Linked DNA regions of Arabidopsis thaliana. The main gene of each other region encodes a partner of the protein of the gene in region 3 in a complex. Each region holds a gene or a part of one and is shown on either strand. Other genes may lie near its edges.

Evidence for each region.
Region 1: CIPK23 (region 3) and CBL2 share a complex: the UniProt entries of both Arabidopsis thaliana proteins name them as parts of the K(+)-channel calcium-sensing kinase/phosphatase complex.
Region 2: CIPK23 (region 3) and KT1 share a complex: the UniProt entries of both Arabidopsis thaliana proteins name them as parts of the K(+)-channel calcium-sensing kinase/phosphatase complex.
Region 4: CIPK23 (region 3) and CBL9 share a complex: the UniProt entries of both Arabidopsis thaliana proteins name them as parts of the K(+)-channel calcium-sensing kinase/phosphatase complex.

The regions. Positions count from the first base shown.
Region 1 is NC_003076.8:22,669,458-22,674,625, forward strand, and holds CBL2 (calcineurin B-like protein 2), read left to right. Parts: upstream 1-1,655; 5' UTR 1,656-2,088; intron 2,089-2,557; 5' UTR 2,558-2,614; intron 2,615-2,695; 5' UTR 2,696-2,731; coding exon 2,732-2,855; intron 2,856-2,991; coding exon 2,992-3,074; intron 3,075-3,172; coding exon 3,173-3,232; intron 3,233-3,328; coding exon 3,329-3,437; intron 3,438-3,512; coding exon 3,513-3,565; intron 3,566-3,659; coding exon 3,660-3,740; intron 3,741-3,817; coding exon 3,818-3,930; intron 3,931-4,064; coding exon 4,065-4,122; 3' UTR 4,123-4,173; exon of another isoform or gene 4,174-4,398; intron 4,399-4,456; 3' UTR 4,457-4,643; downstream 4,644-5,168. Other genes in the region: AT5G55980 (serine-rich protein-like protein), read left to right, coding at 844-1,185. UniProt on the Arabidopsis thaliana protein: Acts as a calcium sensor. CBL proteins interact with CIPK serine-threonine protein kinases. Binding of a CBL protein to the regulatory NAF domain of a CIPK protein lead to the activation of the kinase in a calcium-dependent manner.
Region 2 is NC_003071.7:11,331,336-11,338,458, forward strand, and holds KT1 (K+ transporter 1), read right to left. Parts: upstream 5,404-7,123; 5' UTR 5,110-5,403; coding exon 4,937-5,109; intron 4,084-4,936; exon of another isoform or gene 3,872-4,083; coding exon 3,515-3,871; intron 3,446-3,514; coding exon 3,388-3,445; intron 3,280-3,387; coding exon 2,962-3,279; intron 2,881-2,961; coding exon 2,635-2,880; intron 2,546-2,634; coding exon 2,447-2,545; intron 2,365-2,446; coding exon 2,332-2,364; intron 2,209-2,331; coding exon 2,023-2,208; intron 1,921-2,022; coding exon 1,726-1,920; intron 1,632-1,725; coding exon 1,556-1,631; intron 1,463-1,555; coding exon 630-1,462; 3' UTR 515-629; downstream 1-514. Other genes in the region: KCS11 (3-ketoacyl-CoA synthase 11), read left to right, coding at 1-288. UniProt on the Arabidopsis thaliana protein: Highly selective inward-rectifying potassium channel that mediate potassium uptake by plant roots in response to low K(+) conditions, by a calcium-, CBL-, and CIPK-dependent pathway. Positively regulated by phosphorylation by CIPK23.
Region 3 is NC_003070.9:10,652,933-10,659,437, forward strand, and holds CIPK23 (CBL-interacting protein kinase 23), read left to right. Parts: upstream 1-1,867; 5' UTR 1,868-2,337; coding exon 2,338-2,562; intron 2,563-2,653; coding exon 2,654-2,716; exon of another isoform or gene 2,717-2,855; intron 2,856-3,013; coding exon 3,014-3,085; intron 3,086-3,171; coding exon 3,172-3,279; intron 3,280-3,387; coding exon 3,388-3,468; intron 3,469-3,607; coding exon 3,608-3,661; intron 3,662-3,758; coding exon 3,759-3,884; intron 3,885-4,060; coding exon 4,061-4,150; intron 4,151-4,269; coding exon 4,270-4,389; intron 4,390-4,468; coding exon 4,469-4,594; intron 4,595-4,808; coding exon 4,809-4,925; intron 4,926-5,021; coding exon 5,022-5,078; intron 5,079-5,158; coding exon 5,159-5,233; intron 5,234-5,351; coding exon 5,352-5,433; coding exon of another isoform or gene 5,434-5,450; exon of another isoform or gene 5,451-5,539; coding exon 5,540-5,592; 3' UTR 5,593-5,968; downstream 5,969-6,505. UniProt on the Arabidopsis thaliana protein: CIPK serine-threonine protein kinases interact with CBL proteins. Binding of a CBL protein to the regulatory NAF domain of CIPK protein leads to activation of the kinase in a calcium-dependent manner.
Region 4 is NC_003076.8:19,129,133-19,134,123, forward strand, and holds CBL9 (calcineurin B-like protein 9), read right to left. Parts: upstream 3,173-4,991; 5' UTR 2,976-3,172; intron 2,745-2,975; 5' UTR 2,596-2,744; coding exon 2,517-2,595; intron 2,134-2,516; coding exon 2,051-2,133; intron 1,728-2,050; coding exon 1,668-1,727; intron 1,573-1,667; coding exon 1,464-1,572; intron 1,371-1,463; coding exon 1,318-1,370; intron 1,197-1,317; coding exon 1,116-1,196; coding exon of another isoform or gene 1,059-1,115; exon of another isoform or gene 1,028-1,058; coding exon 915-1,027; intron 828-914; coding exon 764-827; 3' UTR 508-763; downstream 1-507. UniProt on the Arabidopsis thaliana protein: Acts as a calcium sensor involved in abscisic acid (ABA) signaling and stress-induced ABA biosynthesis pathways. Contributes to the regulation of early stress-related CBF/DREB transcription factors.

The DNA.
Region 1 (5,168 bases), on a different chromosome or scaffold from region 3:
TTATGTACATTGTGAGTAGATGATGCAAATCACAATGGCAACAACTTTATAGAATCTTAATATAGTGTTTATACTACATATTTTGTTTTTTCTCTCGTCTCATTTACATATCTTGATGTATATATTTTTTTATATGTTCAATTTTTTTTTTTGCAATTTAAAACTGAAAACCCAAACATTACTTCATTAACTATCAATTAGGATGTCGGTTTTCTTAAAAGAAATATTTTTATAGCATTAACTATATCTCATAAGTATAAAAGTTTTGGACATGGCATCTAAATAGTTGGAGTCTTTGAGATGGTTTTGACTTCAGCTATATAAGTAAGTCTTAGGGTGTTTAATTTAGAGTTTGAATTTTAAGCCTTTGAGTCTGTCAAAACCTAAAATAGGCACAAACCAAACAAAAACAATCAGATGTTTTTTTTTGGTTACAGAATCTTTAAATTAGACTGTTCTAGATTCTCAATTGGCACTAACACAACTAAGTATGTTCCTAATTGGTTGAAAAGTCATAATATTTGTCCTTGCACAAAATGTGTAAACCATAAAAAGAAGAATAAAACCTCCAAGTCAAATATTTTCTACTAATTTACAATAACTCTTTTCTAGAATACTAACCACCAATAACTTAAAAAAGCAGTTTGTCAACAACATCCAACGACTATTTTTAGCTGCCTTCTCTCACAAGTCACTATTATAAATGACCTTTTGGATTCATTAGCAAGAAACAACACAAATCATTCTTTACCTTCATAACAAAAGTCACTATAGAAATTACCTTTTGATTCATTAGCAAGAAACAACAACACAAATTCATTCTTATTTACGTTCGTCAAAACCATGACGAAAGAAAACCCTTCAACCCTAAATCTCGGACAACCTAAGGCACAAGAAAAGTATTCCACAAGTTTAGCCAAGATCAACCCTAAACCCTCCGGTAGCTCTACCGTTGAATCGAAGAGCCAAGACAATAACTCACCTAGTTTAAAACGTTGGAGATCGTCCTCCGGTAAATCTACGAGGCTAAATTGTTTATGTTCTCCGACGACACACGCCGGTTCTTTCAGGTGCAGGTATCACCGCGTTGATTCGTTGACACGTGCCGGGTCTATTGGGTCGAACCTCGCTGTTTTATTGTCGTCCAAGTCGAGCCGGTTTAGTGACTCCCTCAAGGCTCAGTAAACCCGGTTACTGGATTTGTTCGGTATAATAACTGTCGGTTTTGTTATTTGTTTGTTTCTTCTACTTCTTCTTTTGACATTGTTCAATAATTTTTATCGAAAAAGACATTGGTCTGTATTACTAAACCGCTTGAAATCGGCTTAACCCGATTCAAGGTAAACTTTTATCTAATTTTCACCAATTTGATTCAAATTTAAGCATTTATTACATACACATTTTATATGCTTCAAAAATACTTGAAATGAATTTTTCTGTCTACATTTTATATAAAGAAAATATAAAATAATTTTACGAAGTCAGAAATAATACGCAATATAATATATTTTTGCAAATTTATATATATTGTAAACGTTTTGATGATCACATTATTTTTAAAATTTCTGAAGATATAATTGAACTTATCATTTCGGGAGGTTCGATTTTATATGTTACTTGTCAAAAATTTAAAATTTGACAATAGAAAAAAATGGCTATATCACATATTATCTTTGATTTTGTATGATTATTTTGCATTTAACATCGTAAAAAATGTACTAATTTGAAGATTTTTTGAAAACTTAAATTCTCCAATAGCACAATAGATCATATATTCTATGGGTGAATGTGAAATTCAAATTTATGTCCGGTTCAATTCAGCTCGAGTTTTACTTAACCGGAACGAAAATCAAATCGAACCGTATTTTGAAGAATAAAACGACGACGATTTGAGCAGATTTTTCAGGATTTAATTTGTAATAATGCAAAAAGATTGAGTTTTTGTTGTTTGTTGAGATATTTAAAAAGATTCTTCAGGTTTTAATTTGTTTTCCAACTCTCTCCTCTGCTTTACAACAAATCGTCTCCGTCTTCCTCGCTCAGCTTCAACAACCAGAGCCGACTTGAGATTGAGAATCAACGTAATCGGTAAATTTTCGTATACGCAAATCCATTCTACTCATTTTGAGTTCACTTACATATCAAGATTCTTCTATCTCTGTTGAATCTGCGATTCACGAATCCATTAGGACGATTTTTGGGGATCTAGATCGGGTTTTGTTTCTCAGAACCTGTAATTGATTGTGTAATCCTTGAGTTCATTAATGTATAAATTCAAATTTCCCAATTTGGGTTTGTTTCTGATGGATTTTATTAATTTTGTGTGTCCATAAATTGTGATGTTTAAGATTAAAATTTGGTTAATGAGCTTTGATTAAGTCTTTAGATTCTCCATTAATTTTCTTATCTTCTTCAATATTGTATATATTATGTGGACATAACTGAATCATCTGAATAGTAAAATCATGATAATGACTTCAGTTTCTAAGCAATGTTTGTGTTGCCTATATTGACTGACTTATTTAGATTACTCTGAATTTTGCAACTTGTGTTACAGATACTCTCGCAAAGTCTCATCCTTTCTCAGCAAAAAACACTAGGAAATGGTTGAAAGGTACAGTGTTCTTCATATGCTTGCTTCTGTAGAGCTGTTTTTTGAAATTAGCAAAACAAGTTCACAATGTTTTATATGCAGGCATGGAGAGTTTTGATTTGCTGCTTAAGATATATCATGTCGCAGTGCGTTGACGGTATCAAGCATTTATGCACCTCTGTTTTAGGGTGTTTTGATCTTGATTTGTATAAACAATCTGGTGGCCTTGGAGATCCTGAATTGCTTGCAAGAGACACTGTTTGTATGCCCTATCACCTTCTCTACTCTTTTTTTTTTTTTTTTTTTCCGGTTATAAGATTCGATGCAATACCATTTGAGGAATGCAAAAATATTTCTTCTGAAGACTATTGATGATTGAATTTGGTTTTGGAATGCAGTTAGTGTGAGTGAAATAGAAGCTCTTTATGAGCTTTTTAAGAAAATCAGCAGTGCCGTGATTGATGATGGGCTAATAAACAAGGTATAACTCTAACTTGTTTGATCTTCTTCCTCATTTGGTAAAGCTTTAGTGATTGATCTAACAATCTGTCTAATTTACTCATCTCTTGTTTGTATCAGGAAGAGTTTCAGTTGGCTTTGTTTAAGACAAATAAAAAAGAGAGTTTGTTTGCAGATCGGGTAATGTTTCTTTCTTCACATTATAAGTGTTCTTAAACCCATTTTTGTCAAGATCAAGTTTAGAAGAAATGCTGAAATATGTGATTTTGTTTCTAGGTTTTCGATTTGTTTGATACAAAGCACAATGGAATACTGGGGTTTGAGGAATTTGCTCGTGCTCTCTCCGTCTTTCACCCAAATGCGCCTATAGATGACAAAATTCACTGTACGTCCCTTTTAGCTTGTATCTCAAAAACAAGATTGGGATAACACATTAATGATATATACTATTTTTTTGCAGTTTCATTTCAGCTATATGATCTTAAACAGCAAGGGTTTATCGAACGGCAAGAGGTAAAGCTTCCATATCTTCAAATAGCTTCATATATAACCTTGTAGAAGTGCGCTTTATTATCCTCACTGACATTTTCGTCCATCATTTGTCCAGGTGAAACAAATGGTTGTCGCTACGCTTGCTGAATCTGGAATGAATTTGAAGGATACTGTCATTGAGGATATAATCGACAAGGTAAGTTACTTACTTTTTTTCCTCTTCACCCTATATTTTTTCTTTGAAAGTAATTTCCCGAGTTTTGAATGTTTCAGACGTTTGAGGAAGCAGACACAAAACACGATGGAAAGATCGATAAGGAAGAGTGGAGAAGCCTTGTTCTTAGACATCCCAGCCTTCTGAAGAACATGACTCTTCAATATCTCAAGTGAGTTCCAAATCTTTCTATTTATATAACCAGGATTGAATCTATTCAACCAAATTCCTTCTCTGGTTTCTCTTTCTTCTATTCTCCATGATATGTAATAAAGGTCGTGATCCTGTTGTGTGCTTGCTCTGCAGGGATATCACGACTACGTTTCCAAGCTTTGTGTTCCATTCTCAGGTTGAAGATACCTGAAAAAGCAAAAGCAAAAGCAAGCAGCGGCAAGACATCATTGTATTGTTGAAGGTTGTTCTTTCGTTATGGTTCTTTATTTGTTACATTTCTAAATCTCTGAACTCATTTTATTTTTTATTGAGCTTTTTTTGTGAAGCAAAATTCTTCTTTTTAGTTTGGTTTTTGTCCTTTTTGATTTCGCTCGGTCTATCTGTAGATACAACTTTTGCATCTTGATGTTATGGTAATGTAAAGTTTTTCAGTTTATTTATTAATCCAATTAAAAAGATTTGCTTCAATCTCTGTGTTTTGGTTATTAGAGTTAGCTTTTAATATTAATTCAATGGATTTCTAGATTGCAAGCAAAACTAGTCATTTCATATGTGACTTGTAAGCAAAACTAGTCAAAACTGAGTGATGTCACCAGCCCTCCTAATGACGAGTTTTCCGAGATCAGCTCCACAAGAATCAACTTACATGATGACAAAAAGTGGATCTTCGATGAGACGCCATTAGAGAGAAGAGGAGATGATCTTACCAACAAGGGTATACGAAAGCAGAGCTTCGGGGGATGGTTGAGAAGCAGAGACATGAATAATGTTCTTCCAAAAAGAAGAAGAGGTGAGAAAAGGGAAAAAAAACCTAATTGAAGAATTAGCGATTTTCCCTCACCAAGAACCCTACATTAATACAAAAGGAAGTGACTTGCCAATCAAGTTTCCCATCCATTGTAGATGAGGGGAACATTGTGTTTGTAGTAAGGCAATGGAAGAATGACTCATTTATGCTTCAATGACTTCCATGTTCTTTCTTGAGGAGAAGGAAGACCATTCTTCTTGTTTTGCTACACAAGACTGAAATAAGAAACCTCTTCTAAAAGTTCTTCACGCTCCATGTAGACTATCTCTTTCTCCAAGGAGCGCTTTTCATTTAGAAAAAGCAACTTTTACTCTTCATCTTATCTTCGGCCATACTAGACGCAAACTCAACTTCAAGATCAAACAGTGCTTCTAAAGCCAACTCAACTCAATAGCCATACTTCATGCCGTCTCTTCAGCTTTTTTATC
Region 2 (7,123 bases), on a different chromosome or scaffold from region 3:
AAGAACTTGAAACTCACAGAGTGGCATATGGAGCCCTCGAGGATGACACTCTACCGTTTTGGTAACACGTCCAGTTCTTCTTTGTGGTATGAATTAGCATATAGTGAGGCCAAAGGAAGGATCAAGAAAGGTGATAGAATTTGGCAGATAGCTTTTGGTTCGGGGTTCAAGTGCAACAGCTCGGTTTGGAGAGCGGTAAGGTCGGTAAACCCTAAGAAAGAGAAGAACCCATGGATGGATGAAATTCATGAGTTCCCAGTTGAAGTCCCCAAGGTCTCCACAATCTAGAAACCACTTAGTGGCAAATTTTCAGAAGAGGTTTTTGAGTTTTCAGCTTTTGATATTTTGTGTCTTCCCAGTGAATTTACCTTTTTCTTGATTTGATAATCAGATACACCAAACTGGTTAACAATATTTTTCTTCTTTTTTGCGGAAAAACTTGTTGTAGTCAGTAGCAGACCGTCAATGGTCGGTCCAGCTTGTGTTTTTGGTTGTTGTGTCTGCATATATATTTCCTTTAAGCATTCTTTGTCTCTTTCATTTTTTGACAAAGTTGTTAAAAACAAGAGTTATCAACTTGTCATTAATAACAATAGGTGATAGAATGTGGCAGAGAGTTTCTATGGTTGTTAAGAATCAGTTGCAAAGATGAGATGATCTCCATCTCTTATAACATCTACATCATCAATCTCTGCATTGTTGTCTTTGTTCATAACTTTGGTAGCAACAATACCAAACTTGTTGGAACCCAATTCTAGCAACTCCTTGAAACTCCCAGGAAGCAGTACCAGCTTCCCGGCTATGTCATCTTTCTCTGCACAACTAATCGTCACTCTCACCGGGTTTCCAGTTCTGCCTTCATCTACCGTAGCTAGCCCGTTCTTGGGTACGCTTTGATTTGCTAATATACCAAACAACGAGTTATCGAAGTTGTTAGTTTTACGTCTTGCTCTTGTTTCTCGAATCCTGAAAGACACTTCTCTTGATGCAGGACGGATGTTGGGTTCACTAGTGAATCTTCCGAGGAACCGGATCCCGGTTTTGAGTATAGGTACCGAAGAACTTGTCTCGATATGCACTCTCCTCTCATGTAACTTTTCTCGGAATAAGGCTTTAATATCCTCATGCCCTTGTTGCTCAGCAAGATCCCTCGGCGTCCAACCATGCATATCCTGCTTGTTAACATCCGCACCTTGCTCCAGAAGATACTTTACCATCTCAATGTTCTCTTCGCATACAGCGGTATGGAGCGCAGAGGTGCCTGTGGCTCTAGGACGAGTAACGTCTCCACCATGAAGAACAATTTCTTTTAGTAGTTTCAAGTTTCCTTGCTCAGCCGCCGTGCAAGCAAAATGACCCACATCCCCTGCGTCTATGGTACTGCCATGTTCTAACAGTACCTTTACAACTTTCTCATGCCCTTCCACCATTGCTTCCCACAGTGGTACACTCCCTTCCGCGTCTGCGTTTACATTTCGAAGAAACCAAGAAGCTCAATACTTCAGAAGAAATCCTGAAATCAAAAGGGAAGTACCAGAACTGAACAAGCAAGTACCTCTGCAATTGGGGTCTGCGTGGTACTCCAACAGAAGAAGAACACAATTTAGAGTTCCTTTTGATGCTGCTATATGCTGTTTCCAGAAAAAAAAAAGAGATCATAAGTTATAGTCTCCAAGAGCTTGGATGAGAAGAAAATAACAGAACAAGAATGTGAACTTGACTGACCAGAGGTGTTCTGCCATTGTTATCCGATTCATTTGGATCAAGTCCTCTCTTTAGTAACTGATGTAAAAGTAAATCGTCTTCTCTTATTGCAGCAAAGCATAAATTGAGAGGAAGATCCATTTTACCCCGTGCAAGCATGTTTTCTATCTCCAGCAGAACATTCGTCATCACCGGATCATTCATTTCTTTCAAATGCTGCTCTCCACAAAGAAAGAGAGTGAGAACAAGTAAGTAATAGTTCATAGATACTTTTCTGTTTTCAATATTTGAAAACCTCAGAAGGATCTGTTTATTCACCTGAAGTAGATTATTCATGATTATGGTACCATCACCAACATTGGCCTGAATAATATTCAAGAAAGTTGTACGGTTCATACGCAACAGTTGGCACAAACGTTTGGTCCTCACAGTAAACAGTTGTGGTCTGTAGCATAACACCCCTATCTCCCCTATAATGTCTCCAGCTTTAACCTCTCTCACAATCTGAAATTCTCCATAAACTTCTCTTTGTGAATGCTTAGTTACATCATAACTCCAAGATCACAGGTATGGAGACAAAAGGGATAAACATAAAATAAGAAACATCCATCAAGTGACGCGACTTACGCTTTCTGTTCCAGTATCTACATCCACCAAGTCCTGCATCATAACGGATATGTAAGAGAAGTAAGTTTTATGTCAACTCAACAAATCTGTAGAGAACTTTGTAATGTTTTATTACCGCGGTTCCGTTCACAAGGATGTAGAAGTCTGTTGGCGCTTCGTTCTGCAAGATAACATCTTCTTTTGGTGGGAAATACTCAGCTTTCATTTCTGAGACCTGTAAAATGTACAAAGTAGTGGTAGCTTCATTTGTGTGTTGAAAATGGGATATGAATGATGTTTTCACATGCATTGTCATTAGTATACCAGTTGAAAAAGCAGGTCATTGGATACTCCTCGAAACAGGTAGACTTTATCCATGAGGGAGTAGAAAAGAAAGTGTGATATACTCGATCTAATGGCCTTTGGGAGTGCATCAAGAGTTTCTTGCTGTTGCAGACCCTCAGAGTCAGTCCGGTATTTCAAACATAAATGTGCAAGCATTTGATCTTGCAGACGAGGTGGTAAATGGTTTCTATGAGCAAAATTTGAAGCAGCTTGGATTGTATCTCTCTGCAAAATGAGAACAAAATATTATAAACCGCGATGGATATGCTTCAAAGATTGAAGATGGATATGAAGATGCTAACTTACAAAATTTCTAGTCCGACTTGTTCCATGGACTACCAAATTTGTCATGTTACCAATCAAGTAAGCGGTTAATCCGAGGTTGAAGAGCATATAGAAGATATCAAATATCATCTCCTTTGTGTTCACAGGATGCAGATCACCATAACCAACAGTGGTTAGAGTAGTGATGGACCAATACATGGAAGTCACATATCTCATCCACAAGCTTTCCTCTAGGAAGTTTGCTACATTTGCACCAATCCAGGTCTTTGCGGGGTTAGAATTGCGCGCTGCGATAAGGTAATAGAAACATGCAGCACAATGAACCGCAAAAAGAGTGACCTGCAAAAATGCTCTGGTTGGTTAGTATCTACACTATTACTACATCGAGAGTGTAGTAGTTTGAATAAAGATAACATTATAAGAAGCAAAACATTTTGATGTTCTTACACAAACGAGTTTTGCGCATCGGACCCAAAAGTAGTTGAAGTTGCGGTCTTTCTCTAGTCTGTTAAACAGAGAATGTCAAGATTAAAGAAAATAATGAAAGAAAGAAGAAAAGTTTAGTGATTCTAACCTGGCAAACAAGGCACCGACTCTGCGAAGACGCCAAAGACGAAGCATGTTAAACAATCCATAAGACTGAGATGAGATTCTCATAGCAGCCTCTGAGGGAATGGTTGAAACAAGATCAAGAAGGAACCAAGAACGCAAGTACTTAAATGCAATCTGTTTACGGTCATCAACAATGAGGTAAGTCGATTTATCGAGGTAACCAACAAAGAATGTCATGATGATATCGATGGCGAAGAATGCGTTCACAATGTTATCGGTGATAGATAGTGGTGGCCTTGGCTTTCTCAAGAACCCAAACTCGAAAGGCGAAACCCAAGCTGTGTAAACCACAAGAACCACTAGGAAAGCCTCCCATATCCTGTAGTCAACATTTCCATTTCAGTCATATTCAATAATCTAGTACATTTTCTACATGTAGTTGAACATATCTCTTAAGTTACTGCATGAATATATCCAAGTAAGTCTCATATTTAATTTATCAGTACTTTGTGTTTCAATAGTATGTTACTATTTGATGACGCTATTGAGGATACAACAACCAAGTACAGTTTTTTCTACTTTTGGTTATAGTAATATATCAGATTTGATATCAGTCGTTGAAATCAAGTAATGAGTGCCTTGAATGTTCCACATTCTCTTTTTCAATTACTATAAATTATCCCCAAAAAGCAAAAGCCAAAAGCAAAGGCGGCTTTTAAGCTAATTAGCCAACGAGAGTAATAATGGGAGCCTTGAATATTCTACAATAGCCTTCACATTTATAGATCTTCTTTTTTGAATATTAGGGAACTAGGATTTGAATATTCCAAATGTTGAGTAAAAAGGGAGCTTTAGTCGTCAAGTAGTTAAAATTTTCAAATTAACCTAAGAAAATATTATTATTAAAAATCAATTGTTGTTGAGGTAAAAAAACGTGGAAACCAACATTTTTGTGTTGTTTGACCAACTAGCATTTTTTATTTGCACGTAATTTTTTTATTTTATGAAGAAATTAAAACATTTTTCAAATAAAATAGTCCAATAAGATAAAATAACATGTTATTTGTTTAAAACCAACATGAAACTCTTACTATTTTGAGGGTAAACTTGTAACCTAACCAAATAGTTATTCACCTAACTCATAGAAAATAAGGTTAGTTAATCTAGTGCATATACTTAATAGTATTTACCCACAATAAATTACAAAAGTTGATCACCAACCATTAAAAAGAATACAATTTTTTTTTATATTCAGTATTCATTTAATAAAATACAAATTTGTTAACTATGATCCTAAAGTAAAGTTAATTTCTTGTTTCCGATCCTCATAAATGAAAGAATCAGAAGTTATATAGTTGAAATATATATCAAGTTAAAATGGTAATCGTCTTCTTAGCTTGACATGGAAGAGAAACAAGAAAAACAAAAAACAAAAGAGTGAAACCTGTATTTGTGATCATAAGGAGATACAACGAATCTCCTAAGCTTAACTCGTCGATTACTTCTTGCACCAAGTGAAGGTAAAATTCCAGTAGAAAGACTAAAATGACTACTCTCTCTCGAAAGCTGTTCAATCTCATCTTGGACTTGTCCGCATAACAAAGCCCCTCCTCTCATCACCGACGTTTTTTTTTCTTGGCTTCCTCTTTGATGGTTCCTTTTTTTTGTTCTTTTGGTTTCGGCAAAAGAGGCAAAATAAGCAGCTTAACTCTTGGCTTTATTGGTTTCACATTTTTTTTTCACTCGTTGTTGATGAGTGAGACCTTTTTTTTTTCTTTATAACAAAAAAAAACTCTTGGCTAGTTGGCTTTATTACGGGTGTGTGTGTCATTTCTGACTTTGGATCCCTTCACTTTCAAGGAATTAAGTTTTCTCTCGGCAACACAGTGGTTGGCCCCACTTTCACGTCTTAACCCTTACTGTAGCATTAATGGTGGCTTCTCCATTTCAAGATAAAATAAAATATCATTCTTGCTCATAAATAATTGTATTAACAGAAGAAGAAAAATTAGACCGAAGAGGAAGAGTTGACCAAAAATTTATACATCAGAGCATGATCTCAAGTTTTTCAATCATTATACTTACTATTTTATTGTTTGTTTGACTTCTAACTAAAGGAAAAAAAAAACACATATAGATGTAGGACACGACTTAAAACTTGTTTTAAAATATTTTAGGTGATCGATCATATAACATTCTTGGGCTCATTTGTGGTATGGAGATTTGAAGTGAGATATTGATTGCAACTTATGGTATGATTGGTTGCATACTTGCATAAAGAGCAATAAATGTTAAACTGTCATACTTTTATTTTAACGAGTAAAGGAAAAGCAAATCGTAAAAAAATAGTTTTTCTTTGTTTGGGCATAAAAGAAAAATATTTTGGTTCATCATCCCTAGATCGTAAGCCCTTTTGTTCACCTTTTCCTCGTCTATCTTACTCACTTCTTGTCCATCATCGTATATATAGGGAATTTAAGATAAGCTAGACATTTAGCCTTTAGGATATGATAACTACCATTGTTTGGGGAGGAAGCTACTTAGGATTTAAGTAGATAATGTAAAATGATGAGGGATAATAATGAACTTTGGATAACTATCCATTTTCTTGAAAGAGAAGTAATGTGATGGATAATCATCACATTTATAACAGTTACCTCATTAAAGTGGTCTTATTACTACAAATATTTGTTGCTATTTTTTCCTTCAAGTTCTGGATTTCTCAAATTTCATATAGTTAAAGTTTTAATTTACAAGATGTCTACTGCTATAGATAAATCATAAAGGTTTGATTGCTATGTCGCTAGGGGAGGAAGATGACCTTTTAAATATATTTGATCTACTTCAATATTGCTCTAGTGAAAAGAGTGTTGTGAGTTTGATAGGAAGAATTCGTAAATCGGATTGCCAAATGATGGAGCTAATCCTAGATAAGCCAAGGAACTGGCAAAAGTATGAAATCATCATAGAGATGGCTATTTCCTATAGAGAATGTTAGATGCGTAACAACCAATTTTCTTTTACTTTTAGAATTTTCTTTATTTACTAATATTTCAGTTAGAGGTTAGCACACTTCTTGTTCCATCCCATAACTGTTCGGGTGTTTCCAAATTCCTATCTTATATAGGAATGTATTCTCAATATGGGACAAGTTGGTATTTCCAAATAGAAACTGGAGGGGTTCCCTAAGTCCTGATTGTGACAAATACAACTAGTATATATATATATATATATATATATATATATATAATATTCTAAAAACTTAATTGATTTAATTTATGTTTAGTTGTTCTAAAATGGATTATGTTTCTTTGTTTTTTCAAGTTTTAACTTTTCACTATATAACACACTTTATCATTTTTTCTTGTTTGGAAAATATTTATGCTAGATAAATTGAAAACATGTTAATTATAGAGCAAGAGTTTATATTTTATTTTATTGTAACAGGTTCTAAGACCTTTTTTTATAGAAAACATTAAATTAAGATAATTATTAATTACATGACTCGCGCTCTGACCAGTTGGACCAAATATATATGAAACACAAATTTAGTTTAATAGTATTTTAGAGTATTTCTCTCTTTTTTTTTATGAGCTGGTATTTCTCTAATTTACAAGTGTGTTGCATATAA
Region 3 (6,505 bases):
TAGTTATCATCCGAGAAACCTGGCGAGTATATGTTCTCACTGAAATATATGTTTTAATCACAAGAGAAACATCAACCAAGTTTATACTATGTCTGAAATAAATGTAGTCATATATGACAAATATACAGATAATACAACGTTATTTTACGTTATTTTTTTTTTCTTTTACCGTTAAAGTTCAAAATTTAATTACTAATGATGAACTTTTAAATATATTTACGTATAAAATAATCAAACATAGATTTAAAATAATTGTGACTATATGTCTCAAGTACAGTTAACTCGACCGATTAAAAAGATTATTATTGTTTGATTCTTATTAGAATTGAATTTTGGTGTTATGTTCTTTTTGTTAAAGGGTTTAGTTTTGGTATTATTAGGTTAGAAAGAGATATTGTACGCTTTGTAAAATCATTTTAATTAAGCAAATAATAATGTCTTGGTTGCCTCCAACAGACACTCGAACATGATTGTTTCTGTTAACTTCCGTTAATTTAGTTTTCTGATCACAAACACGAACTCGTGGGTCGGTTTATTTTTATTTCCGAGGTCAAATATTATAATGACTGACCGGGAATATACTTTCTTGATAAGAAAGTCATTATTTACACATTAGGGTTTTTAAGAGATTAAATATAATTTTCAATCTAAAGCATCTGCAATGATCATCAACTGAAGAAAATTATGATGAAAAGATTTGAGAATTTACATTCAACGACTAAACGAGTATGAATATATATGAATCAGATAACTTTTATTTTTAAAAATATGCATCATGATGGTCATGGCCTCATGGGCTATCAATTGTAAAGTCAAACCCTTTCAAGAAAACGTGGCAAGGTCATGTGTATGTACATTTGCCCACCAATGATTTGGTTCTATTGTTTTATGCTAATACGATGATTATTAGATAACATTCTCTTTGATGAGCACCATAAAAATCAGAAACTAGGTTTAAACTATTTTGGGTTGAAAAAACAAGTATAACTAGTTAGGTTGATAACTGTATACTGTATTTATAATAGAGCATTATTTCTTATAGAAACACAAACACATATATAATCTAGACAGAAGATTCTAAACATTTGATCGAACCATCGAAAATTTAATGTTTAATGGTTTGTATCATTAAGTGCCCCTTTTGTGAAACATTTAGTATTGAAAAGGGCACGTAGCTCCTTGATACTGGTAACGGCTTTTCCATAACATCAAAAGTTCAATTGGACGTTTCAAATCTAATCAATAGTATTTATTAGAGTAAATAAAAGATCCTCTTACGTTTTATAAATCTTATAAGTACACATGTTTGGAATCTCGGAGTATAAAAAGATACTTGGATAAGTGATGGCAGCTAATTGGATAAGTGGTGGACTTAGTTCAATATTTTTATTAAAAGTTTGCATATATATATATATATATATATATATATATATTTTAATAATTAATATTAATTAGAATTTAATTGAGCAATTTCGAGAATATTATTTAAGTTAGGTAAGAATTTTTTTGTACTAATTTATCTGTTTTTATTTTTACGAGAAATTAAAGATAAAGAAAAATTTATAAATTCTTTACTGTCGTTCTTTAACTCTTTTGAAATCGTTGATTATTCGGTTGGAGAAAATATCATATTTTTTATTTTCTTTTTCGAAATTTTGTTTTAAAAAATTATGACAGCTAATTACACGGCATGTAAAAAAGTAAAATATTTACTTTTATTTATATTTGATAAAAAAGGATGACATAATTTTCTGTAATCACCATAAGTCCATAACGTTTGCATTTAAATTATCAAAGACTAAGATAAGCCTAGAATAATTTAAAATGTAAACTATAGTATACGTCAGAACCTACAGATACAACCTTCCTCGTATAATCCCTAAACAGAATTTTAATTAAACATTTCCTTAACTAATTTACTTCTTAATTTAACTTTTAAATTCCTTCCACCATCGAATCACAATCTCTCTCTCTCTCGCTTGCTGTTACTCGCTTTTTCCCAGAACCGGCTTCGATTTTTCTAAAGCAGCCGAAATTTACGATTCCCAGAATTTTCCCTACTGACAAAATTTCACTTCAAATACAAATCTCGTCTTCATGAGTCTTCTTCTTCGTCCAAATTGAATTTTCTCCGCACACGAGAGTTGAATTTTGATTTTCGGCTGTTTATATGGTCTCCGGTCCCTTAGGGTTTTAATTCTTCTGCAGATCTCTCACGATGAGCGTTGCGAAATCCCAAGTATGGCAGCCATGCAAGAAGAAGAGGTCCTCCTCCTGATTCAATAGAGATCTATCTATATATATATAAGAGACCGAGATATATATATAGAGAGAGAGATGGCTTCTCGAACAACGCCTTCACGATCGACTCCTTCACGATCAACGCCTTCTGGTAGTTCTTCTGGTGGTAGGACACGAGTTGGTAAGTATGAGCTTGGACGAACTTTGGGTGAAGGAACTTTCGCTAAGGTCAAATTCGCTAGAAATGTTGAGAATGGTGATAATGTCGCTATTAAGGTTATTGATAAAGAGAAAGTTCTGAAAAATAAGATGATCGCTCAGGTATGTATTATACAATTCTCCAGCTGCTGTGTTCTTATTGGGAATCTGATTTACGCAGTTGTGATATAACCTTTGATTTTGGATTTTGTAGATCAAGCGTGAGATTTCGACGATGAAATTGATCAAGCACCCGAATGTCATTCGTATGTTTGAGGTTTGATTCTGATACTATAAAGCTGAATTCAAAGTTGTGTTGCACGTTTTGGTTGTTGTTGTTGTTCTATAGATTTGTGCTATAAGCTGAGATTCGTTTGAAGTTATGGAACATATTTGTGGTCCCTGGCTAATCATATGTATGTAATATAAGGGATTTGATTATTCTATGTATTTTTTTGGTATCTTTGTAGTTACAGATTCTCTTCTTCTTCTTCTTCTTCTTCTTCTTCTTCTTCTTCTTCTTCTTCTTCTTCTTCTTCTTCTTCTTCTTCTTCTTCTTCTTCTTCTTCTTCAGGTGATGGCTAGCAAAACTAAGATCTACTTCGTTTTGGAATTCGTCACTGGTGGGGAGCTTTTCGATAAAATTGTAAGATTTCATTGAAAGATGTGTTTTTTTTTTCTTAATACTATGTGGAAATGAGATCTTAATTCTTTAGAATTGTCATGTATTAGTCAAGCAATGGGAGATTGAAGGAAGATGAGGCGAGGAAGTATTTCCAACAGCTGATTAATGCGGTTGATTATTGTCATAGCAGGGGAGTTTATCATAGAGACCTTAAGGTTAGGAATCTTACTTTGTGATCCTCTTGCATAGGGTTTCTTGTGAATCAATTGGCATCAGAATAAAAGTTTGATGTGTTTGAATCATGTTGCACATTCTGGTTGCAGCCAGAAAATTTGCTTTTGGATGCTAATGGTGCTTTGAAAGTGTCTGACTTTGGATTGAGCGCTCTACCTCAGCAAGTTCGAGTGAGCATCGAGATATTGATTTCTTTTTCTATCATTTCATTGTAAATATCATAGTTCGATAATTCAGCTACTATGGCTTCTAAGGAGAAAGATTTCCATGATTTATTCAAAAGCTGATTTTGTGACCCTTTTTCTTTAGGAGGATGGGTTACTTCACACAACCTGTGGAACACCCAATTATGTTGCTCCGGAGGTATTAGCAACTGCTACTGAAAACTGACACACAATTTTCTCAAAACTTGAATTCTATTATTTTCTAGTCTCAGTAACCTTCTATATTTTCTCCCTAGGTAATCAACAACAAAGGTTATGATGGAGCGAAGGCTGATTTGTGGTCTTGTGGAGTAATTCTCTTTGTTTTAATGGCTGGTTATTTACCTTTTGAAGATTCTAACCTGACGTCGTTATATAAAAAGGTATTACGCTTGCCTCTTCTTCTTTTGCTTTTCTTTTGATACATATCATTTTACATGCTATCAGAAAGGCTTCAAGGTCTAGGTGCATTTGGGTGGCTGTATAAAAGCCTCTGTCATTTTTGTATGAGACGTATATAGCATAAAAGCCACCTGATTTTCTTTCTTCATAATTACAGATATTCAAAGCAGAATTTACTTGCCCTCCCTGGTTCTCTGCAAGTGCTAAGAAGTTAATCAAAAGAATTCTGGATCCCAATCCAGCAACGGTATATTTTTCTTACCCTATTATATAATTTATATTAGAGGATCTCTCCTTTGAAGAGGCAAAAGCTTCTATAGGATTGAGTAGATCTGAAGGCTTACACTGATTTTTTATATTGGGCAGAGGATTACATTTGCTGAGGTCATTGAAAATGAGTGGTTTAAAAAAGGGTATAAAGCACCTAAATTTGAGAATGCTGATGTCAGCCTTGATGATGTTGATGCAATCTTTGATGACTCAGGGGTAAGGCTAGTGTTCTTTTGTTTGTTTTTTTCGGTACTTTGTCCGGGATGATTGCTCAGTTGTTTTTGTTTGTTAATAGGAGTCTAAGAATCTTGTTGTGGAGAGGCGAGAAGAAGGACTCAAAACACCAGTAACGATGAATGCTTTTGAGCTCATCTCGACATCCCAGGGTCTCAATCTCGGTTCACTTTTCGAAAAACAAATGGTACAGAAGTCTGATACGTAAAGCTGGTCTTTAAATTTCGTCCCCCAAGGCTCTTATTTTGTTGACAATTTTTAACTATCTTTTTGCGGTTTTGGTCAAACCTAATAAGAAGTAGCTTTGCCACAAAATTTTAGTGACCAATACTTTTCTTTGGAAGCCCGTACTTAGTTTGATAGAAGTCGTCATTCTGATTGATAAGCTTCTCTGATTTCAGGGGCTGGTGAAACGAAAAACTCGATTTACTTCCAAATCTTCGGCTAATGAGATAGTTACAAAAATTGAGGCTGCGGCAGCACCTATGGGGTTTGATGTCAAGACAAATAACTACAAGGTTAGAATACTGTTACGTATTTACCCAATGCTGTGGAGTTGTGTATTGGTTTGTTGCTTCTGAATAGACCCTTTAACCATTTCTCAACTCCTTCAGATGAAGCTGACAGGAGAGAAATCAGGCCGCAAGGGTCAGTTGGCAGTTGCCACTGAGGTTAGCTTTCACAATGACCAGTGATCACCCTTTGTATGGTTGGCTGAACCTAATTTAAGTTAATTGACATCTACCTTCAGGTTTTTCAAGTTGCTCCATCTCTTTACATGGTTGAAATGCGAAAATCAGGGGGTGACACATTGGAATTCCACAAGGTATGCAAGGGTTATTAATGCTGATCAGGTTGTATCAAACCCGAGCTTGTCAAATGGTCTTCCAGTAACTGATGTTTGAATCTTTACCTTTTTGCATCCTTTCTTGCTCTTCTTTTAGTTTTACAAGAACCTTACCACGGGACTTAAGGACATTGTTTGGAAAACCATCGACGAAGAGAAAGAGGAAGGAACCGATGGTGGTAAGTATCTGCCTTGAATACTCTGTTTTTTAGATAAAGCTCCTAGAAAAGGAGAAACTAACGAAACATGTAAACACAAATCCTGTTTTGTTTCTTCATGTTTCAGGTGGTACTAATGGTGCCATGGCTAACCGGACAATTGCAAAACAGTCGACATAAGCTGTTTACTTTTTTCTAATATAGATTTTGTTCGTTATAAATTACTATAGTAGTACGGAGTGGTTTTGAAGTTAATACAAAAGGAAGCGTCAAGAAGTGGAGCAGAAGCAGTTTGAAACTATATTGGGGAATGGGGATTATTGATATTTTAATCATGTTTGATTCCATGGAATGTTGTGAATAGCATATGCGTGTTGCGAGGTTCTTGGCTTGAATCGATTAACCGGAAAGTAAAAGCTTTACAGATTTGGTTTTGCAATTTCTATATTGTCGGACGCTGAGATTCGATAGATATTTCAGTTCAAATGTACTGAAAACAAACTAACACTTGTGTGTGAACCAAATCGAAATTTATTTTCATAATTTTAAAACCTGAAAAAGGAAAGCGGACTGAAAACCAATATCAGTGTAGACAAAACAAACTGAATATATAGCATGACTTGAAGTTAGTGAGATTTTAAAACCAAAATCAAGGAAAGAAAAATATCAATAAAGATTATGTCGGACCAAATACTATAACAAAAATTTAGAGATGGAAAACTTGGTGGCCAAGTTACTCTGTATTAATAATTGAGGGCGAAGAAGATGTGAACAAGAACACCAATTCTTCAATTAGGGGTTTTGTTATTCTTCTGTATTACTCTCTTGTTTATTGCTAAGAAACAGGTAAGGCTGTAGCTAAGAGTGTGGAGGAGGAGGAGGTTGGTCTTCATAATTTGGAAACAACTAATGTGGATGTGGATGAGGAGTTTGTTCCTCACAGTTTGGATGAAGCTAAGGCTGTTGTGGATGTTGTAGATGTGGAGGAGGAGGTTGGTCCTGTTGGTTTAGAAACAGCTAAGGCTGTTGTGGATGTGGAGAAAGAGTTTGGTCCTCGTGGTTAGTGGCGGAGGCAAAGTTTTTCTTCATGGGG
Region 4 (4,991 bases), on a different chromosome or scaffold from region 3:
GATATGGACAACGTCCCACTATCACGCTCATCTAGATTGTGCCAGGGGAAGTGTCATCTTCCGTGAGAAATTTCTTTTTGGTATCAACTCTTGAGTTTCATACAAATGATTCTTGTCTGAACTCTTGAGTTTCAACTAAATGATCCTCAAACTTGGCTTTTGTAGTCAAAGAACATGGAGGATATGTAAAAGCGTCGCCGTACAGGGGGATTAGAGAGAATCACTCCACAGCATGGAATGTCTGAATCCGCTTGAGTTCTTTAGCTACTGGGATCATCATTGGTCTGTCTTCATCTCAAAGCCGGCACCACACACGTCAATTCGGATTTATCGGTTACAATAAATTCAGGTCTGGTTTGATTATAATTTTAGTTTCATTTTGGTATTTTTGAAGTTTTCAATTCCCTTAATAATAATAAATTGATTTATATGGCTAATTTCTTCTGTCTAAGCATATTTGACTTTGATTTCTCGTTACATAAAACATAAAGTGTTGGAATAATTTATGAGCAAAATCAAATCTTTAATCAGAAATTGTGGTTTTATATTAATCTTTTCGTAGAACTACAACTTGAGTATTCAAAACTGTTAAAGAAAGAGAGCCAAAAGTAATCGCAATACATGAAATTGAAATCCAATAGACTAAAAATTCCAAAGGAAATAGAGCTCGATCCTGCTATATAACATTGTTGGAATCAATCTTCTTTTTATTCTTGGTCCAGCCTACGACTTGGTCTCTATAAACCAGCTTGTCTTGTCTCTTTCACGTCGCAATCTCGTCCACCTCCGAGTTAAATACGAAACTCGGAAATGTCGTCGTTATATCCCTAAAATTGAGTTTTTAAGTCCTCAAACTTGGAAAATGGCACCAAAACTGGCCAAATAGATGGAAGTATCATAGTAAGGAGACATACCTGAGATACGGAAGAGTCATGATTTTAAGCAAAGATGGGTTTTTGATAACGAAATTGCTCCATTCTGTCTTATCAATCTTTCCATCCCGATCCACATCTGCGTCCTCAAATGTCTGTTCACGAAAAGAAAAAAAAACTCGAGTTTCATAAAACAGTCTTTCTTTTGACAGAAAACAAACTTGTAATAGACAACAAGTAAACCTGATCAAGTATCATCTCTATTGTATCATCAGCCAGTTTCATTTCAGATTCGCAGAGAAGTGCAATCAACATCTGCTTCACCTGCCAAAAACGCATACACAATTATGATTACTTATAGATGATGCAGAATCCATAATACTGAAAGTCTTTGAAACATAGATTGTTTGGGAATGGAATGTGAAGATATAGGACCATTGTTTACCTCTTGGCGCTCAATGAAGCCTGTGCAGTCCATGTCGTAAAGCCTAAAGGTAACTGATATATGAAATACAGAATAACATGAATAAAAGTACAGCAAGGCTTTAGAGAAACGACGATGGATATAAACTCGTTTATGGGTCAACTTACAGTCTGTTTTCTCCTCTAGGGAAGCATTAGGATGGAAAACATTGAGTGATCTCACAAAGTCTCCAAAATCAATTACGCCTTTTCGTTTAACATCAAATAAATCAAATATCTGGAAAAAAGAGCATTACCATTAACTACTTATAATAGAACTAATCGTTACGACTAACTACAAAGTTACTAAGGCCAAAGAAACTTAGAATTTACCCTATTGGCAAACAAATTTTCTTTCTTTCTGTTCTTGAACAAAGCAAGTTGAAACTCTTCCTGCATAACAAGTTGGTCGAGAAAATAAGTAACAATATCCAAGAGTGGGCCAAGAAAACATCAATTTTTATAAGCAAACCAATATAAAAAATGGAATTAAAATTCAAGTCAACTATCATCAACACAGAGACTTGGTGAGCAATAAGGAGCCCACAGCTCAGCATGGAGATTCAATAATAAATTTGTGAAAGTCAAGAAAGTTGACAAATAATACGGAATATGGATAATGGTGCAATGAATATTATTATGTCACTGTACATCACGCATTCAAGATTCTCCCATGAGGTGCGAAATAATCAAAGGGCTATGAGATTTATCATTACCTTGTTTATCAAGCCATCGTCAACAACCGAGCTGCTTATGCTCTTGAACAATTCATACAATGCTTCAACTTCACTAACACTAACTAGAAAAACAAACAAATAATTAGCCACACTGCGAGATTTCTCATCAACATCATGTATATCACCAAAACAAAAATCGAAAGTGATGGTTCTTGAAAACTTTCTCTGATTAAGATTCCATTTGAAAGTAGAAGTAAACTACACTAATGATCCAAGAAACTATTGAAATAGGTTTATGTGATGACTTAAGTAACAACAAGCATCATTTAACAAAGTTGTAGATCAAATAGATTATGAATGAAAGAACCATTTTTCGGATTCAATAAATGGCGAAAACAGATTCTCATATCAGTTAACAATTGATAAAAGAGAGATCTTTATGCTCATGCTCTTTGAGAATAAAGCAAAGAAGAGAAAACGAAACGTATAGTGCAAGTAAACTTACAAGCAGTCTCAGAAGCAAGCTTCACAGGGTTTTCGTGATCGGGAAATTCTCTGGCAGCCGTGGAATGGAAACAACCCATTTACGGATGACAAGAGTAAAACGAAGAAGAAGAAGCTTGTTCCGGAGGTTGATAAAATCGCCAAACTCTACTACAATTTCTGAGATTGTGAAAAAGCTTGATTTCTGATATTACTCACTCCCCATCATCATCATAAGCATCTTTAAAAACTACAATGATTCAATCAAAAACAAAACCCAACAAAAATTGAATTAAAAGACGAACACGATAATTGAATAAGTATAAACCCTAGAAAAAATAAGCAGCAGCTATGTGGCAATCGAATTCAGATTAACAAAATTTTGAATATTAAATCGGAAATTAAACAGGTAATGTAGGAGCGGCTCGAGAATCTCCGAACCCAGAAACTGAATGGTGAAATCGAAAAATTGAGCACTTACCACCGAGAGAACGGGCTCGCCGGCTCGGTGAGAGAGAGAGAGGAAGGGATTTTGATTTTTGAGAAACGAGAGAGAGACGAAGAAGAAGATCTCTGACCACGATGGTAGATGAATTGATCGGACGGCTGAGATTAACTTCAGACTTTGCTGGGCTTTTTTTGTTCGTCAGAGGCCTCCGATTGGGGAAATTATGAGAGAGTTTGTTTATAACATGATCGTCGCACGTGTGAGGGTCTGAACGCGTGTGAAACACATCCTTGTCATTTTTACCTCTTTTTTTCTACCAACCCCATTTTTATTTTATTTTTATTACAGTGTGGGAAGAAAACAAAGCCATTATTGTTGTTTGACATTTTAGTTTCGAAATTTCAACTTTCAACTTTCCTTTTTTATTGGTTAAGAAAGTTAATCATTTTTACAAGTTTTCTTACAATTCTGCAATGATTTTGTTTTGTTTTTGTTTTTTTATTAAAAGAAAAATATTTAGACTCGAATTTTGTTTTTATGTAAGTTTATAACTGTAAGAAAAAAAAAGTGTAGAGAGGTAACTAGTACTTGTAGAGTCAAGATTTAACATACTCAAAAGATACTAAGAATGATATTTATTTGTATAAGATATAATTTTCAAATTGGATCTTTCATTTTCATAATCCATACAGATGTCAAGATCTCATAGTCTTCAAGATCTTGCAATAAATAAATATTAATATGATAACCCAACTAGCAAGGGGACTAATTACTGTATTTATCTATATATTCAAGATTCATGTAGAGTGTGTTTGATAATAATTTCAATATGGGTCATATACCTTTTGGGATAAACGAAGAATTATAATAATTCTGGTCACATTTTAGTAGTCTAATCAATCACGTAGGACAAACAAAAATCCAATAGTATAAAGGCGGTCTAAATAAGAATTATGGATTAACATAATTACTTTTATATAAACCATAAGACATGATCTAATCATGTATATTATCAAATTTTGAAACTAATTAAGTACGTACGCCATCCAACAATCCAATAATGTAAACTATATAATGTTCGCCTAAAAAAAAGAAATGGATTAGCATATCCATAAGACATGGCCAAATCATGCATGTTACGTATATTAAATTTGAAACTGGGATCCTGGCTCTAGTAAGAGTGGTTTATAATTTTATATTGGGTTTAGAATTCCAAATTAAATGGTCAAATTCTTTCATTCCAATACAAGCAGAAACTTTTATGATAGTAAAAAGATTATGAGAAGACTTATGAGGTGTTAAGAAAGTGGGAGATGTATTATGAGGAGGAGAGATTATGAGTATAGTAAAAAGATTATGAGAAAAAAGATTATGACAATAGTAAACAAGAAGGTCCATACAGTATCCATGTTTTTCAAGAAAGTGGGAGATGCCAAAGTCCTGGACCTAATATTTTTGTTTTAAGTTTTGATAACTAACTAATTTTTTTTAAATCAGACACAAAAATAAACATAGACTGTTGATATTTTAGAAAATTAAGATCTATTAAAAAAATATTGTATTTTCTTATAGATAAACAAAAAAAACTTTTTTTTTACTAAAAGACTAATATCAAACTGTCCTAAGGTCCCTACTAATTTTGGGCCGGTGGTCCTGACAAGTGACAACAGTTTAATGGTCCATTTTGTACTTAAAATTGAGTCAAATTAGTTGCGGCAATAAGAGCAGAGCAGTAATGTGTTACACCCTTAAAGGACGTTAGTACTGAAGCCCAAATTCTTTGGAGGTTGGTTGGTTGGTTGATGAAGTGCGGTTTTGATTAATTCACAAATATGACTTACTTGATGACTTTTCACAAACATCCATCTGGAAACGCTACTATTTGATGATGTATTAACAGTAGAAAGCATATTAAAAAAAATAAAATCTCTTATTGATTAAATTATCAAGCGTCAAAACGAAATAGGTCTGCTTTACAAGTCAAAGACCTTCGATACATTATCTTTGAGACTACTTCATAGAGATTTTTAAAGCAGAAAGATTACAAAA